Cricetulus griseus: one gene and its partners. The protein of the gene in region 2 purifies or fractionates together with the protein of the main gene of each other region. This does not show direct contact. Links are inferred from orthologs where the notes say so. Each region holds a gene or a part of one and is shown on either strand. Other genes may lie near its edges.

Region 1 (3,807 bases), on a different chromosome or scaffold from region 2:
TCAGAAATAATTTATCTACCATACGCTACATAGGTATAACAAAGGCATATGATAATTTAAATCATCTGTCAAATACAAAAATAGCAGTGATGCTCAACCCCATGGATGAAAGATTTCAGTTATGGAGTTCTGCCATTTCTTCCTGGTGTCCTGGATACATCTTGTTTTAGTAGTCTTTACTATGTCATTTGGTATTGCTTCCATTCCCTTGGGTGTGCAAAGCTGGACTATCAAATGAGTTAGAATTGGGTAGAGCAGTTAGTGAACTGATTGTGACAGCTCACATGCTGCATTTTTTTTCTTGCCATCTGGTTCTTGAAAAATTAAAAAAAAATGTTGTGGATAGTAATGCCAATGAAGTGATTACCCATATCTCTTAATAGTATTGCTCAAGATGAGGGATTCAATTAACGCGTGATTAGACTTTTAAGCACATAATGAATAAAATGTTCTTCTGAGATGTTATCTTCTGAAAGTAAAGTTTATTTCCTACACACACACAACACACACACACACACACACACACACACACACACACATATATAACTTCATCATATATATTTCATCATATATATTTGATGAAGTAGTTGTTTTAAAACTTGGAAACTTCATCTCATTAGCCTTTTAAGGTAAAAGTTTGAATTTTTAAAAAGATTTATTTATTCATATATTTTATGTATTTTAATATCTAAGATTTTGTTGCTCTGAAAATGAGACTTACAGTATACGTGATTTTTTTGGTTGTTTTTGTTTTCTTGAAACAGGGTCTCTCTACATAGCTCTGGCTGTCCTGGAACTTCCTCTGTAGAGCAGGCTGGCCTCGAATTCACAGAGATCCCCTTGTCTCTGCTTCCTGAGTCTTGGGATTAAAGGCATACACCTTGACTCCTGGCATACATATGTGACATATTGAAAGTATGACCTTCAGTTTCCATTCCAACCCATCCAGAATTACATCAAAAACATCTCATATAGTTGATCGATACACATGAGATGCTGTAGATCAACATAGTTGTTATGTGACCAGGGCTCCAAATAGACTCTAACCAAGGTCATGTTCGAAAATCTTTCTTTGAATTTTCTAAAAATAAACCTTTAGGCAAATGTTGGAAGACAGTCATTAATTATTGGAGGCATTTTGTTTTCTTGTTTAATGTCACATTCTGGTGCTGAATTATTATAGGAGATTTCAAAGACAGGTTGACAAAAGCTGTAATAAAACTGACCTCATTTCTTTTGTTTTCACAAAAAAGATTTGTGCTTTAATTTCTGCAAAGTGTGTGTTCAAATTCAAATATTTTTGGTATCGATCTTAATGAATAGATTCTTTTGTTATTTTATCTCTTGATTTATTCCAGAGAAGGGTATTTATTCTATGTTTTCACATAAGATATTGACCCTGTATTGACAGATTATTGCTAATTGATGCTAGTGTTCACTAAATTACAGTTTTAAAAATACCAACAGTTAATAGTGAATAGCTCCAATGAATCACTTGTGTAAAAGGTTTTGTAACATGAATAAAATAGTTTTCTTTCTAGAGGAAATAAAGTGACCAGTTTGAAGCTGTATCATTGGATTATTTTAAGTGTATGAGATCATGTCGCACTGTATAAAAATGTACAAGCTTTAATTAGTCTAGGAAAACAAATTTCAAAAGTGTTGCTTCAGGAACAGAAGCCAGAGTCTTTTATTCTGAAAGTCTGGCTGGTTTCCAGTACATAAAGAAGTGTTTGGGAGGGTTATTATTTACATTTCTTGAATTCTTTGGTTTGTGGCTGAGCATTAGCCTGTTCAGGATTTCTAAGCCTGCTATTTTATGGTTACACATTTCTTCGGCTTTAATTAAAAAAAATAGACAAAAAGGCTTAGTGTTTTATTTTGGGTTTTATTCTAATGAATGCCATCTCTCTGATATTTCAGGTTTTTTTTTTTTAAATTGGACCTCAGGTGCACAGAACTGGATTAATCATAAGCCCTGCTTCATATCTCACTCTCATCATTGTTCCATTCATGGCCCTCAGTGATTTATTTATCAAGTTATTTAATTACTTTTGGCTTTCTTTAAGGGAGAACATTGACCAGCTTAAAGACCTTGCTTTGCAATTGACTGATATTTATTTCCTTTGACATTCTAGAAAAGCACTTCTCCATTGCAACTAAAACTTGCTGCTAAACCTTCCAAATCTGAAAAGGAAATGGACCCAGAATATGAAGAGAAAATGGTAAATATACCCTTGGTAAGGTAGTGACCATTGTGATTCTCTTTGTTTGTTTGTTCGTTCGTTTGTTTGTTTGTAGCCTGGTCTAGTTATATAATTCCAGGCAGAAATTCTTGAACTTGTGACTCTTCAGCTTTATTGTCCCAATTTATATGATTATTGGTTCCACTTTCCATGCCTTATAGTTAATTTTTATAGAGATATAGAAGATGAAAAAGATTTATCTATGACACATAATCAGATTTCATAGTACAAATGTAATTTAATATATTAAAGTGTCACAAGTGTGTGTATGTATGTATTAATATATGTGTGTGTATGTATCTGTGTGTGTGTGCTCGCATGCGTGCGTGCGTGCGTGCGTGCGTGCGTGCATGTGTGTAGGCCAGAAGTAGATGTCAGGTATCTTCCTCAATTACTGCCCACCTTATTTTTTGATCCTGGTCTTCTTAAATTTCAGTTTTTTCCCTATTCACTCTCCACTTATTTTTCCACTGGCATAATCAAGAGCCAAGAGCTCACAAATTTGGTGAGGCTGAATGGCCAGTGAGCTCTAGCGATTCACCCCCTCCTTCTTGTCAATGCTGGCAACATGGGTGTGTGTTGTTGTACCTAACTTTCTATGTGGGGGCTAGAGATCTGAACTCGGGATATTATATTGTTGTGACAAGCAATTTAACCACTGAGGCAACAATTCCTTTTTATTGAATAAATTAATCTCATTTTCAAAGGAGAAAATTAAGAACCACGGAAACTTTGTGGAATAGTTGAGATGAGAAGCCACATCTCACTTTTTCTCAGTGGTCTTTAACCAATACTGAGATGTTGCAAGGCAAAAACATTCTGTGGACTCAGTGATGAAGGTATCAGTGGCAGTAGTCGTGTGGCTTTGTACCTGTGGGGAATGCAGTCATGATGCCAGATCAGCGTTTCTCCTGACTTTGTATATAAAGGAATGCTATACATTAAGGAAATATGTAGTATGATAATATACCTTTTAAGCATATTAAGGCTTATTTACCTAATGCATGAATGTGTTACTTATTTAAGTCATGTAATCTTTGTCGAGCACCACATATTTCATTATTCTTTGTTTAATTTTCAGTCACCCAGAACTGGACAGGTAGTTGGAACTGATTTTTTTCCCCCCGAAGGAATGTTTTTCCAGTTTAAAAAAAAGTAGGAAGGCAATACATGTTCTAGTTGCTGATAGCTATTTTACAAGAAGAGTCTGTGTTTAAGACCACATCTAAGGAGACAGTTAATGTTTTAACAGTTCTAAAAACAACATTCCAGAGAGGATAACATGAAGTGGAAAAGTTTTGGCCTCCTTCCAGCTCGTCATCTGAATGTATTTTTTCAAAGTCTTGTATCTAAGCTAATGAACGTTCCCGCACGTTTCTGGTGTTGTTATTAATTTTTCACCATTAATCAATTATTCTCTGCCAAATGGTCAGAACGTGACTCTAAATAAAAAAAAAAACCAAGTTCATTTTTTCCTTTGTCTAAGATGAAGTGCAAGTCTTTTGATCTTTTAAAGTTTTGTAGTGAACATGTTTATTTTTTTATTTTTAATTTTTTTCCT
Region 2 (4,607 bases):
CAGAAATATTGGCACTGGGAAGCGAGTCTGCCAATATTGGCTGTGTTGCTCCAGGCAGGGTGGTGAGAGCTACTGAGAGGGGCTGGCCCCCGAGGGCTAAGGAAAGGAGAGGGAACAGCAGCTGGCAGCACCATGCTAAGAGAATTTCTTTATTATAATTTTCTGTATAAAAATGTCCATCAGACGGAGGTCAGAGGGTGCGGGCACATGTTTATCGGGAACAAGATGGACAGCTCCAGTGGCTTTCTGACCCTCTCTCATGCAGTCCTTGCTTAGAGTCCCAGGTGATCCACAGGTCCACGGTGAACAGTGAGGGTCAGAGGTGGAAGGCTCAGCAGGAGAGTAGAGGAGCATCAGCAGAGGTCGAGAGAAGGCCAGAGTCCAGGGTCAGGCTGTCTGGAACAGGAAGTAAAATGGACCGAGATGGACCAAGCAAGGAATATGTTTCCAAGAAAACCCTCACCTCCTCAAACATCGTATTACTAGCTGACCCAACCCCCTGCACTGAGTATCTTCTGTCTGAAGCCCTTGCACGACAAAGGGGCTTCTGCTGGGACCCTCCCCTACCATCCAGGTGAGTATTTCTTCCCCACCCCAGCCAGTGTGGGAGGAGGAGGACTCCTACCCTGGTCAAAGTTGAGTTTCTTGGCTGGAGGAGTTTCTCCTAGCCCTTCAACATCCACCAGGTCACTGTTGGCGTCGGAGTCGTTCAGAGCACTGAGTGTCACATCTGGGAGGGGGCATAGGCTAGGTTCTAGGTTTCCTGACTACTCTCCCTCGTCCCAGTTTCCCAAAGCTTCATGCTCTACACAGCCCTCTGCCCGTTTTGGAATGACACCTGAGCACACAAATCATCTGTCCTTTGACCCAGGCCCAATTCTCTCATTCAATCTCAGATAGGACCTTTAACCCCTACCCTAGGCAGCAACTCCACAGCCCTCACCAGCCTTCTGTTTCTTTAGGGGAGGACCCCCAGCTTCAGGGACACTGGAGCTGCTGGGTGGAGGGGCAGTTGGAGGGGAGAGGACCCCAGATGTCATCTTCTTGGGCCCTTTCTTAGGTGACTCAGTTGGAAGAGGGACGCCAGAGTCTTCATATACTTTTCGCTTTACAGTGGTCTTTATCTGAGCCCTGAAGATAAGAGAAAGCAGATTAGGGAGATTGTCACCAGAGAAGCTGAGGGAAGAGGGAAGGGGGGGGAATAATGGGCCACTCTGAAGGACTCCTAGTTCCTTCACAAATATCCAGATCAAGGCCCTAATCCATGTGAAATAAGGATTCCCCTACCCTTAGCAGCTTTGTACCCACTTAGGGCTGATGGGTTATGGAGACTGGAGCCCCTGAACAGAGCAACCAGAAAGGTCCTTTTCATGAACCTTAGGAGAGATGTCTGGATGTGTAAGGCCACCAGGTATGTATTGGTGATATAAAGGCAAACTGAGACTTTTTCACAGATGCTGGCAGCTAACTAGTTCAGAATGCATCCCCAGAAATGCTAGTCTCAAAGGATTTATATAGATAGCTATGGAACCCTCATCATCAAGCACACCCATTGAGTAACTGGGCACCTGAAAATAAAATTCTCTGAAGGTCCTAATTACCATCGCATTTCCTGAACTTCCGACCAACTGCCACAGTTATTATATTCTTTCAGCCTTCAAGGAAATGCTAACACAACTAGCAACAAAGTAGGAATGATGCTGAGCTGAGGGGATTCTGAGGAAGAACAATGGGTAAGGAGAAGAAAGTTGCCCACCCCTCCCCTTTCTCTGCCAGCCACCCTCCCTCACACTGTCCGTTCCTTGATGACACAGCTGATGTGATTAAGATCGTCCCCAAATCGCTTCACAGCAGCCCTCAGCATCTCTATCTCCGTCTCCGTCCACTTGGCACTGTCGGAAGGGGAGAAGGGTGATAGCAAAAATGGAAGGAGGAGTGTGTGGGGCCAGCCCACAGGCTATTCCGTCCACAGTCAAGCAGCCTCTTCCCTCTAGTCTCTAGGGCACCTTTCAAAGATTCGGAGAGAGGATCTCCTTAAGAAAGGCCCTGGGGACAAACCGCTAGCCACATGAAATTGCATCCAGAGCCACTTGAAAACATCTCTCTTCATCATGTAACAGCTGCTATAAACAACCCACGGAAACCAATGCAACAAGTAGGGGCCTTTCAAACAGAACCCTTCAAGGATGTGTAGCAGCAGTCTGAGTTGGGGTGGGTGGGAGACAGTATGTCGGTTTGCAGCGGGGGATTGTGGACCTGGTAGCCTCTTCACCTGTCATTCACTAGTTCAACCATGATTAACAACTACACTACGCTGGGCCAGGCACAGAGGAATTAATGTATCTCCCTGCTCTAGAGAGGGTCGTGTCGGTGACTGAATCCAAGCGCCTGCTCCCGGCTTCCAGGTCCTAGGCTGGTCTCACGTACCCGGCAGGGGAAGAGTCCGATACTGGATGCAGCTGCATAGTCAGCTCCCCGAGCTTCGTGAAGGCGGCGCCGGCCGCAGAGAAGATCTCTCCAACCTGGGGGCGGAGCAGCATTACGGGAGGCCGGCAGCGCGCCGTCCCACCCCAGCCTCGGATCCGCCCGCCCCCCGCCCAGCGCGCACCAGCCGGGAACCAGGCAGGGGGCCCACCCTCCCGTGGCCGCCAGGGAGCGCAGTCCGCGAGGGAGGTCGAACCTTGGTGGACGCTGACGTCATGGCCCCGCGCACCTCCTCACGGAGACGCTCCGCCGCTACCACCACGCGAGCTGGAAACCACGGAGAGCCGGGCGGCCGGCCGCTCGGACTCCCGCGCAGGAAGTCCCGCCCTCCTTGCGGCCGATTGGCCGAAACGCAACCTCTCCCCCGTCACTCAGGTCGCCTCGCCATGCGGAGGAAGACGAGATGGAAGACGTCGCCTCACTTCCGGCTGGCTTCATTCCACTTCCGTCGGAGGGTCGGGACTGCTCCTTGAGGCTACGCTCAGTCTTGCTAGCCCAGGCCCGCCCTCTCCCTGAAAACACAGACACCAAGCTTAGGGGAACCGCTTCTTTTTATTGTAGGGCAGGGCGGGGCGGGGCGGGGTCAGCCCCGGTCCCCTCCAGGGGCTGGACAGCAGAATTTGCAGGGCCAGGGATGCGGTCTCGCCAGGGTGACTCGGTCCCAGAGGACGCCAGATGGGTGGGACAGACTGGGGCTGAGGAGTCTTTAAATAGAGGGGCGGGGCGGGGAGGGAGAGCACCGGGCTGCGCTCAGCGCACCATGTATTCCTTTCGCTTATTGAGCCGAACTTGGCAGAAGGAGAAGCCTCCGAGAAGGAGGTAGAGGCCGGCGGCGATGAAACAGTTGTAGCTGACTTGCTCGTACAGGTTGTATATGCTCTGAGGGCCGTTCCTGGAGGGTGGCGAGAAGGCAGGGAAATGTCAGTCGCTCAGAGCATCCAACGTACCTTGCACCAGACACCACACTAAACGCTTTGATTTCTATTCGGCTTCCTGACAACCGTACGGCAGGACTTCTATCATGCGATCTTTTTTTTTTTTTTTTTTTTTTTTGTGGAGGTAGACTAAGGCGCGGGAAGGCAAAATATTGGAAGAGGCCTCGTCTAAGCTGGTGGGCTTGGGGTGGCCACGAAAGTCTGGCTTGCAAGACTGTTCCTAAGCGCGTTTTTAGCGCTGGAGATTGAACCTAGGACCTTGCGTTTTAAGCACGCGTTTGCCACCCAACTGCTTTCTTTTTTTTTTTCCATTCTAGTTTCATTTATTTCATTCTTATCTTTTCTTCTTTCCTACCCGAACTGCTTCATAGAGAGCAGCTCTTCTTGCAGTCCCCCAACCTAGGGCCACAGACGTTCAGCCTTCAGCAGCGTCCCCTACATGATTCTGAGCCTAGACCCTGCTACTTCTCATTTGCACCCAGATTCGCCTAAGTACCCAAGCACTTACTCAAAATCTTTCTCTGTGAAGGGAACGTCCTCAATTAACACAGCAGAGTGGACATTGAAAAATATCCCGAGCATTATCTGGAAGAACAAAGGAATAGGTAGGTTGTCAAATTCTGGCACCTTACCTCTCCCTGGGTCGCTCCCTACGCTCCTCCCATTTCTAGTGTTGGCCCAACACCTGCCCCTTCCTTAGGGCTCGGAGCAGGGTGGTTGTGGCTGGATTCGGACTCAGCCATCTGAATAGGTCGTGAGGTAGGACACTGGGAAGAGTGGCTGGGTACAAGCAAGTACAGTCAACAGCTCTCCAAGGCGCGTCATTATCATGGGACTAGGCGGAAGAGACGAGGGAAACCCAACACTTCACATTTTTTGAAAATGAGGGCCGGTAGAACCCTGGAGAAGCAAGTCCTCAGCTACCATTTTCGGGAGCAAGCACCCTTCTTGCTCGCCTCCATTCCACTCAAGCTTGTCTCAGGGACCTAGCTCTCGTTTACCTTGAGGGGTCGACAAATTTACCGGCGTTGGCTCCCATCCCCAGGGTCCTGCTTCATCACCCTTTCGCTCTAGTTCCCAATTTTGCGATCTAAGTTCCGTCTCGTTTTCCAGCGGCTAGACAGCCAGACCCTTAATCTGTCTGCTACTTCCAAAGGTCTGGGGGTTTCTGGCCTCCCAACCCTTCAC
Region 3 (3,807 bases), about 36 Mb from region 2:
AATTCAGGGCTGGAAATGTATATGGCTCAGTGGTGGAGAATTTGCCTGGCATGTGCAAGGTCATATGTTCAGTTCTCAGCGTGACGCACATGTACACAGGAAGGAAGAAGGAAGAAGCTGTTAGGAAACTGATGAAGAAGGAAGAACTTCCCACTAGACCTTGAGGGCAATGTGTGTTATAACCGTCTACCTAACAGACTGGTTAAATTGAATTTTCATTAAGAGCAAGAATTAAATGGGGATCAGAGTAAAGGCTCATGCACATCCAGCAAGAGTGTAACCACCTTAGTTAAGCCTTTCCTAGCAACCTTGCTGCAGTGTGTGGTGAGGGCGTGCATGCTTGAGGGGTTGGAAAGTGTTCTGTTCCTACTAGTGCCAGTGTGCACTGGTACAAATGCCTACAACAGTACAGGTCATAAGAATTGGTATTTTGGAGCAACCAGATGTCTGTGTGGTGAGGTAACGGTCGGGTTTGGTGATTCCTACAGAATGGAAATGTGGTAACTGCAGCTCTAGAGAAGGGGCTCACAAATAAAGTGTTGGGGTCGGGTATAGCACGAGATCTAGTAGGTCTTAATAATAAAAGCCCAGAGTCACATATGGGCAGAAATGCTGAGAGATCAGAGAGCCGAAGGAGAAAAACCATAGCCACCTTACCTATTCAGCTTCTCAGCTGAAAAGAGACTGAGTTCCTGGCTGCTCCCACCTTATCACTTCCTGTCTCCAACCAGCCTATCACTTCTTGAATGTCTGTATAGAACTCTAGACCTCTATGGTTAACTAGTGGCTAGCTCTGCCCTCTGATCTTCAAGTAAGCTTTATTTGTTAGAATATAAACAAGACATCACTACATTTCCCCATTTTTGTCTAAAATAAAAGGTTGTATCTACTAAAAGAAAAACTATACAGTAAGTACAGTAACTATATACAATAAGTAACAGGCAATGAATACATGAACAATGGCTAGTCTATTAATAATTGACAAATTCAGAGAAATTACTCCATGTCTATCCTTTTTGGTGAGTCCAAAAGGTTGTACCTCATTCACTTTCTATTCTAACTTGCATTACCTATCTCTCAACTATATACACTTTACCTTTCTTTAGTGAATTTCTTTCCTGAATCTGGTAATAGGGAAAATTAGAACTATAAATTCTTCAACTCCATCAGAGACCTGGGAAGGAAATAATATTACCTGAGTAAGCAGGAAGTGCAAGCAAGCAACTTCCAAAAAATGACAGAAATGACAGACACATCTGGCTTCCTGGACAGTCACCCAAGGTTCCTCTACAATGTTGGGGCATCCATCCTTGGCCTACTGGCCTAGCATCTCTGACACACTTATCTGTGAAGCAGGATATTCTGAAGGGCTGTCCTACCTTGTCTTGGTAAAGTCCAGCAGTCCTTTCTTTTATGTCCTGCTTGTCCCATCTGGACAGTGTGCTGTCAGCAGTCAAGGCAAGAGCACTTTCTTTCCCCGTGCTCTTAAGTGCTGAGCCAACATGAATAAAGGTGGGTTAAAGTAAGAATCGGGTGTGATGATGAGTGAAGTCACAGTGAGTTCTGAGTTCTCATGGGGTACTGGAAGGACCCAGACTCTCAAAGTTTAATTCATTAGTTAATTGGTTGATTGAAATAAGAATTTTGATCTGACCATGATAGCTCTAATCTATGCTACCAGAATGTAAGAAGTGATGTTTTCTTCCTTGGTTTCTGGCAGAGTGGGGTATTTTTAAGACAGTCTCACTCATTGCAGGAATCCATAACTGCTCAGGACCTCATTTTACTGATTAATTAAATGGGATCTGGATCAGGTGTGATGTTTGTAACCGGGTGGCTGGCTGCCCATTGGAGAGTTTGGACTGGAACTTTGAGGTGTTGGTATCTTTCCACTGTGCCACACAAGTCCCCTGTCTGTAATTCACCTGAGTTTTCCTGATACCATTGCAGGGAAGGATCTTCATAACGTAAATGGTTCCGTTAGAACCCTTTACAGATTTGTAACCTAAATGCCGTATATTTTATGTTGTCTGCTTTTTTCCACAGGGCGGCAACCAAGGTTTAACAGTAGTAATTCAAGGACAAGGTCAAACTACTGGACAGTTGCAGTTGATACCTCAGGGGATGACCGTCCTTCCAGGGCCAGGGCAACAGCTCATGCAAGCTGCGATGCCCAATGGTACTGTCCAGCGGTTCCTCTTTACCCCACTGTCAACGACGGCCACAACCAGCAGCAGCAGCCCCGCCACTGCTTCTACAGCAGCAGGTAGAAACACTGTCTTGCCACTCGTTGCTGGCCTCTCGAGTAGCAGGGCCCAATGTTCCACCTCCAGCCTGCTTAACAGCTGAACTGCTGACACAGCCAGCCTCTGTGTTTCCATGCCTTGTTCCTAGACTCCCTGTACCCCCCTTTCCTGATTAAAACAAAACAAAATCCTGGTGAAGCCCTGGAGGTGAGCTTAAGGAGGGTGAGTCCACACAGCTCATAACCAGCCTCCTGTAAGCCATCAGTGCCTGTTGCCATGCCATAGCCGAAGCGTGAAGCTTGAGTGCCTCAGAACACCTAGGTGACATACAGGAAGCATGCAGGAAGCATCCCAGCTCCCCAGCCTAGGAGATGGCTACTCTGAGTCCTCCTCGAACCCGAGGCTTCAGGAAATACCCTCATAGTCTTGCATACTAAAGCCAGGGAAATCACTTTGTCTTTTTTTCTTTACAGGTTCGGGGGAACAAAAACAGAGTAAATCGTCACCTCAGACCCAGGTCCAACCAGCCACTACCCTGGCGCCAGCTCAGTCATCAAGTGTGAGTCCTGCAGAAGCCCAGCCACAGACTCCTCAGCCTGCAGCACAGCCCCAGCCCCAGTCCCCAGCTCAGCCTGAAGTCTCGTCCCAAACCCCTTCTGAAGCACAGCCCTCCCAGACACAGTCATCTAAACCCCAGCAACAGTGTCAGCCTCAGAGCAATGTCCAAGGACAGTCTCCTGTTCGTGCCCAGAGCCCATCATTGACTCGAATACGTCCATCAACTCCATCCCAAGTGACTCCTGGACAGCAACCCCAGGTTCAGACTACAAGCTCACAGCCGATTCCAATCCCGCCCCCCACATCTCTGCAGACACCTTCCCAAGGCCAGCCACAGTCACAGCCCCAGGTACAGTCTTCAACTCAAACTCTTTCTCCAGGACAAACATTAAGTCAAGTTACTGTCTCATCCCCATGCTGTCCTCAGCTACAAACACAGCAGCTGCAGCCCCAAGTCATTGCTGTGCCTGAGCTCCAGCAAGTCCAGGTTCTCTCTCAGATCCAGTCACAGGTTGTGGCTCAGATACAGGCTCAGCAAGGTGGTGTGCCCCAGCAAATCAAACTTCAGTTACCCATTCAAGTTCAGCAAAGCAGTGCTGTGCAGACTCAGCATGTTCAGAGTGTGGTCACAGTGCAGGCAGCCAGTTTGCAAGAGCAGTTGCAGAGGGTTCAGCATCTCAGGGAGCAGCAGCAAAAGAAGAAGCAGCAGATAGAGATTGAGCGTGAACACACCCTCCAAGCTTCTGCCCAGAGGGAAGTCATTCAGAAACAGGTAACGACATTAAGTCAAAGCAGCATGTTGGGTAGTGTGAATTACTGTGCTGTGTGGTACACTTAGTGCTTTGGTTGTGGTAGGCTTCCTGACTGAGACATGGTCACTGGTGGATAGCCTCAGAAGACCAGAACACTGCTTGCCCATTTTGGTTTGGGACTCCTTAATGGGCATGTAGCCTTTCCCTGGTAGGAAACCAAGTGGTGAGGCCACCATCAAAATGGAGTGATT
Region 4 (3,400 bases), on a different chromosome or scaffold from region 2:
TCAAATATATATAGGCTTTTGTGATGAATAGTTGAGGCATAATCTTGCCCAGGAGTTTAAAGGATTCAGTGTGCATCAGTGTGTGCTGTAGTGCACCTATCAAAAACTGTGTGCAGCAAGCAGAGTGGTCGATGTGCTGCATGGTACTTACTGTTTAAAGGAAACACAACTTTGTTATTGCCTTCTACCTCTGTTGTTGGAAGTAATACTAAGCCATGGATGGAGTTCCTACCAAGTAGTTTAGAAGTATTATTATTACTTTGTTTTTCAATACAGGGTTTCTTTGTCTAGCCTTAGCTGTCCTGGTAGACCAGGCTGGCCTGGAACTCAAAGAGATCCATCCACCTGCCTCTGCCTCCTGAGTGCTGGGATTAAAGGCATGCCAGCACCATCTGACATTCAGAATTATTTGTACTGTGGTTGTCTGTGTAGAAGTTTTACTTACATATAAGAGACTAAACAAACAAACAAACCATGTTTGTTCTGTAAGGAAATGAGCTGCTAGCAAACAGTGATGCAAATGGATTTTACCTCACTGAGTAGTACATAGATTGGTAGAGAAAGGAGGTAGACAAAACTCATTATGAACTTCATAGCTGTGTGTGTATCACTGCTATCAACTAAGATGCTAATGCTTTTAAAGAAAAGACTGATTTTCGTCTCTTAAGTTCTAGGTACTTTTGTTTTTGAATTCTGTATGTTAACCTTTAAATATAAGTAGTCCAGAGTTCCTGAGCTTTGAGTAGTTTTTGTATATGTTGATGTTCATTGTCACTGTGTTAGTACCTAAATGATCAATAGATTAATGGTGTGTGGAGAGTATACATTAGTATGGAGCTTTACTATTTACCTGTCTATTGGCAGATACACTGAGCTACATCCCCAGCCATATGTTAGTGCAGCTTTAAAGAATCAAGTATAAACACTAAATATTTGCTCTTTGTATCCTCATAGCATGGTCTGTGAGTAAAAAATAATTTCGTTTTGCTTGTTTTTATTAGTCTATTAGAATATATGGGTGTTTTTTTTTTTTTTGTTTTGTTTTTTTTTTTTTTTTTTTGGTTTTTCGAGACAGGGTTTCTCTGTAGCTTTGGAACCTATCCTGGCACTCGCCCTGGAGACCAGGGTGGCCTCGAACTCACAGAGATCCACCTGCCTCTGCCTCCCTAGTACTGGGATTAAAGGCATGTGCCACCAATGCCCGGTCCTGTATGGGTGATTTTTATATTTGTTAAAACATCTCTATTTAGACATTGAAGTCCTGACAATATGTAGTTTGGGGGCTGGAGAGATGGCTCAGAGGTTAAGAGCACTGGCTGCTCTTCCAGAGGTCCTGAGTTCAATTCCCAGCTCCCAGCAACCACATGGTGGCTCACAAACATCTGTAATGAGACCTGGTGCCCTCTTCTGGTGTGCAGATATACATGGAAGCAGAATGTTATATACATAATAAAATCTTTTTAAAAAAATGTAGTTTGAAATAACAAATTTACTGTGTATGTTTACAATTTAGGAGCTCCAGAGGAGGTGCAATACCTTAATTACTTTGATTGAAAGAGAAAATATGGAACTAGAAGAAAAGGAGAAGGCAGAGAAAAAGAAAAGAGGACCAAAGCCTTCAGTAAGTATTCATGAAAATATAAAACATAGATTGTGTGAATGATGCAGGTAGGTAGGTAGGTGTGTGTGTGTGTGTGTGTGTGTTATGCAAATATGTGTGTGTGTGGTAGTAGTTTGTGAGGCAGAGGTTGACAATCACGTGCCACCTTATTCTTTGAGACAAGATGGAGCTTGCCATCTTGGTTAGACTATCTGTTCTATGCTCCTCAGCCCCCAGCCCCCATACCCTCATCTGATGGGGTTGTCTGGGTTTCACTGGGGTTTGTGGCTAAGAACTCAGGTCCACATGCTTTCATAACAAGCAGTTTACCCACTAGCCATCTCTCCAGAAAACCCACCACTACTACCCTGTGAAGTATTTGAGCACTGTCAGCACTTCTTGTGTTAGGTTTGTCTTTTTTCTTTGTGAGTAATAAATACATTGAGTCACCTGGAAATAGAAACTGAATTTGATGCACTACATATGGAAAAACATGTTTTCTGATTGCCAAGAGTACACCTTCTCCTTAGTTTAGGAGACTGAGGAATATTAGGAAAACAAAAGCTTTACAAGTGCAATGGTTGTCTTCTGAGCTTTGATTCACTGTCTTAGTAATGTGTTCACAATTTGAATGTATTCAGGAGGAAGCAGGTATCTTGTTACTAATAATGGTAAAATATTTGGAGATTTGATAGTGGTTTGAAAGATTGGTTGTGGAGCCCTGAAGAAAAGTCGTGTACTGTCGGGTCATGTTTGTTACACTAATGTGCTGCAACATGTATGGAAATGTATTTAATGTCCATATTAGTTGAATCTTGTCATGAGAACTAATTGTTGTGTTTGTTATAGACACAGAAACGTAAAATGGATGGTGCCCCTGATGGTCGAGGAAGAAAGAAGAAGCTGAAACTATGAACGTATATTGGTCTTATAATCACTAAGCTAGTAGTTCTTTAATTTACGGGTCTTCATAAGATGTGCTGTACAGTGCTCAACTGTTATGTCATTCAAAGACATCAGCTCCATCTGCTTACTGAGCTAGAAACATAGGATGTAGTTTCACTTTTTTAAATGCAACAGCTGTGCTGAAATTTTTTTATCATTAACACTTGAAGTAATAAAACAGGCTTCATTTATTAATAAATGTTTCATTTGATTTATTTTTCTATTAGTTTCATTTGTGAAGATTGTGGCTTTTTATTGGCTACGACATTAGCTCTTGTATGGCTTTAAAACAAGCAAACAAGTAAAAAAAAAAAATACAAAGACCATTTGTCCCTTCAAGTCTCCACTTACTTTTGTAATAATTTTACTTCACATTCTCTGCCTTTGATTTCTTCTTCTTCTTTTTTTTCCTGTAGTACTATTGAGTCTCATCTAGAAAGTTTGTGTAAATTTCATTCTTGCTGGTTATAGAATGGGGAAAGGCAAAACAAGTTATAATGATGTCTATGCATATTCTGTTACACTTTGCGTTCCTAGGGCTCTGAAGTGAATGTGCTCTGTTCGTTGGATGAGTGACCTTTTTAGTAGTATAGCCAAAGACAGTATTTTCTGGTTCTTGAAGGTGTTGTATTTTGTAGCAGGATTTTTTTCTTTTAAAGTATTTGGTTAATATTTTGATAAACGGCCTGTAGCAGCCACAACTTAGAAAGATAATGTCAGAAGTAAGGTGATTTTTTTTTTTCTTTTAAATTTGAATGACCCAGCCATAATGAGGTGTGACTCTTGTCATATTGTTACAATACTAATAGAATGTACCCTCTCAGTTTATAGTATTTTTGAGTTTTTAGAGTAAAT

What was found.
Region 1: the proteins of CUNH17orf49 (region 2) and Smarca1 purify together in Homo sapiens (affinity purification with mass spectrometry; 4 studies listed by BioGRID and IntAct, with this or other methods). This does not show direct contact. The link is inferred for Cricetulus griseus from reciprocal best matches to the Homo sapiens genes BACC1 and SMARCA1.
Region 3: the proteins of CUNH17orf49 (region 2) and Bptf purify together in Homo sapiens (affinity purification with mass spectrometry; 5 studies listed by BioGRID and IntAct, with this or other methods). This does not show direct contact. The link is inferred for Cricetulus griseus from reciprocal best matches to the Homo sapiens genes BACC1 and BPTF.
Region 4: the proteins of CUNH17orf49 (region 2) and Smarca5 purify together in Homo sapiens (affinity purification with mass spectrometry; 5 studies listed by BioGRID and IntAct, with this or other methods). This does not show direct contact. The link is inferred for Cricetulus griseus from reciprocal best matches to the Homo sapiens genes BACC1 and SMARCA5.

The regions. Positions count from the first base shown.
Region 1 is NC_048604.1:21,560,583-21,564,389, forward strand, and holds part of Smarca1 (probable global transcription activator SNF2L1), read left to right. Parts: intron 1-2,138; coding exon 2,139-2,240; intron 2,241-3,807.
Region 2 is NC_048600.1:84,060,005-84,064,611, forward strand, and holds CUNH17orf49 (chromatin complexes subunit BAP18), read right to left. Parts: upstream 2,813-4,607; 5' UTR 2,702-2,812; coding exon 2,681-2,701; exon of another isoform or gene 2,523-2,680; coding exon 2,428-2,522; exon of another isoform or gene 1,893-2,427; coding exon 1,791-1,892; exon of another isoform or gene 1,655-1,790; intron 1,132-1,654; coding exon 944-1,131; coding exon of another isoform or gene 918-943; exon of another isoform or gene 917-917; intron 731-916; coding exon 626-730; intron 575-625; exon of another isoform or gene 397-574; coding exon 332-396; 3' UTR 134-331; downstream 1-133. UniProt on the Homo sapiens protein: Component of chromatin complexes such as the MLL1/MLL and NURF complexes.
Region 3 is NC_048600.1:119,996,804-120,000,610, reverse strand, and holds part of Bptf (nucleosome-remodeling factor subunit BPTF), read left to right. Parts: intron 1-2,046; coding exon 2,047-2,266; intron 2,267-2,719; coding exon 2,720-3,576; intron 3,577-3,807. UniProt on the Homo sapiens protein: Regulatory subunit of the ATP-dependent NURF-1 and NURF-5 ISWI chromatin remodeling complexes, which form ordered nucleosome arrays on chromatin and facilitate access to DNA during DNA-templated processes such as DNA replication, transcription, and repair.
Region 4 is NC_048596.1:156,477,150-156,480,549, reverse strand, and holds the end of Smarca5 (SWI/SNF-related matrix-associated actin-dependent regulator of chromatin subfamily A member 5), read left to right. Parts: intron 1-1,513; coding exon 1,514-1,621; intron 1,622-2,449; coding exon 2,450-2,515; 3' UTR 2,516-2,761; downstream 2,762-3,400. UniProt on the Homo sapiens protein: ATPase that possesses intrinsic ATP-dependent nucleosome-remodeling activity.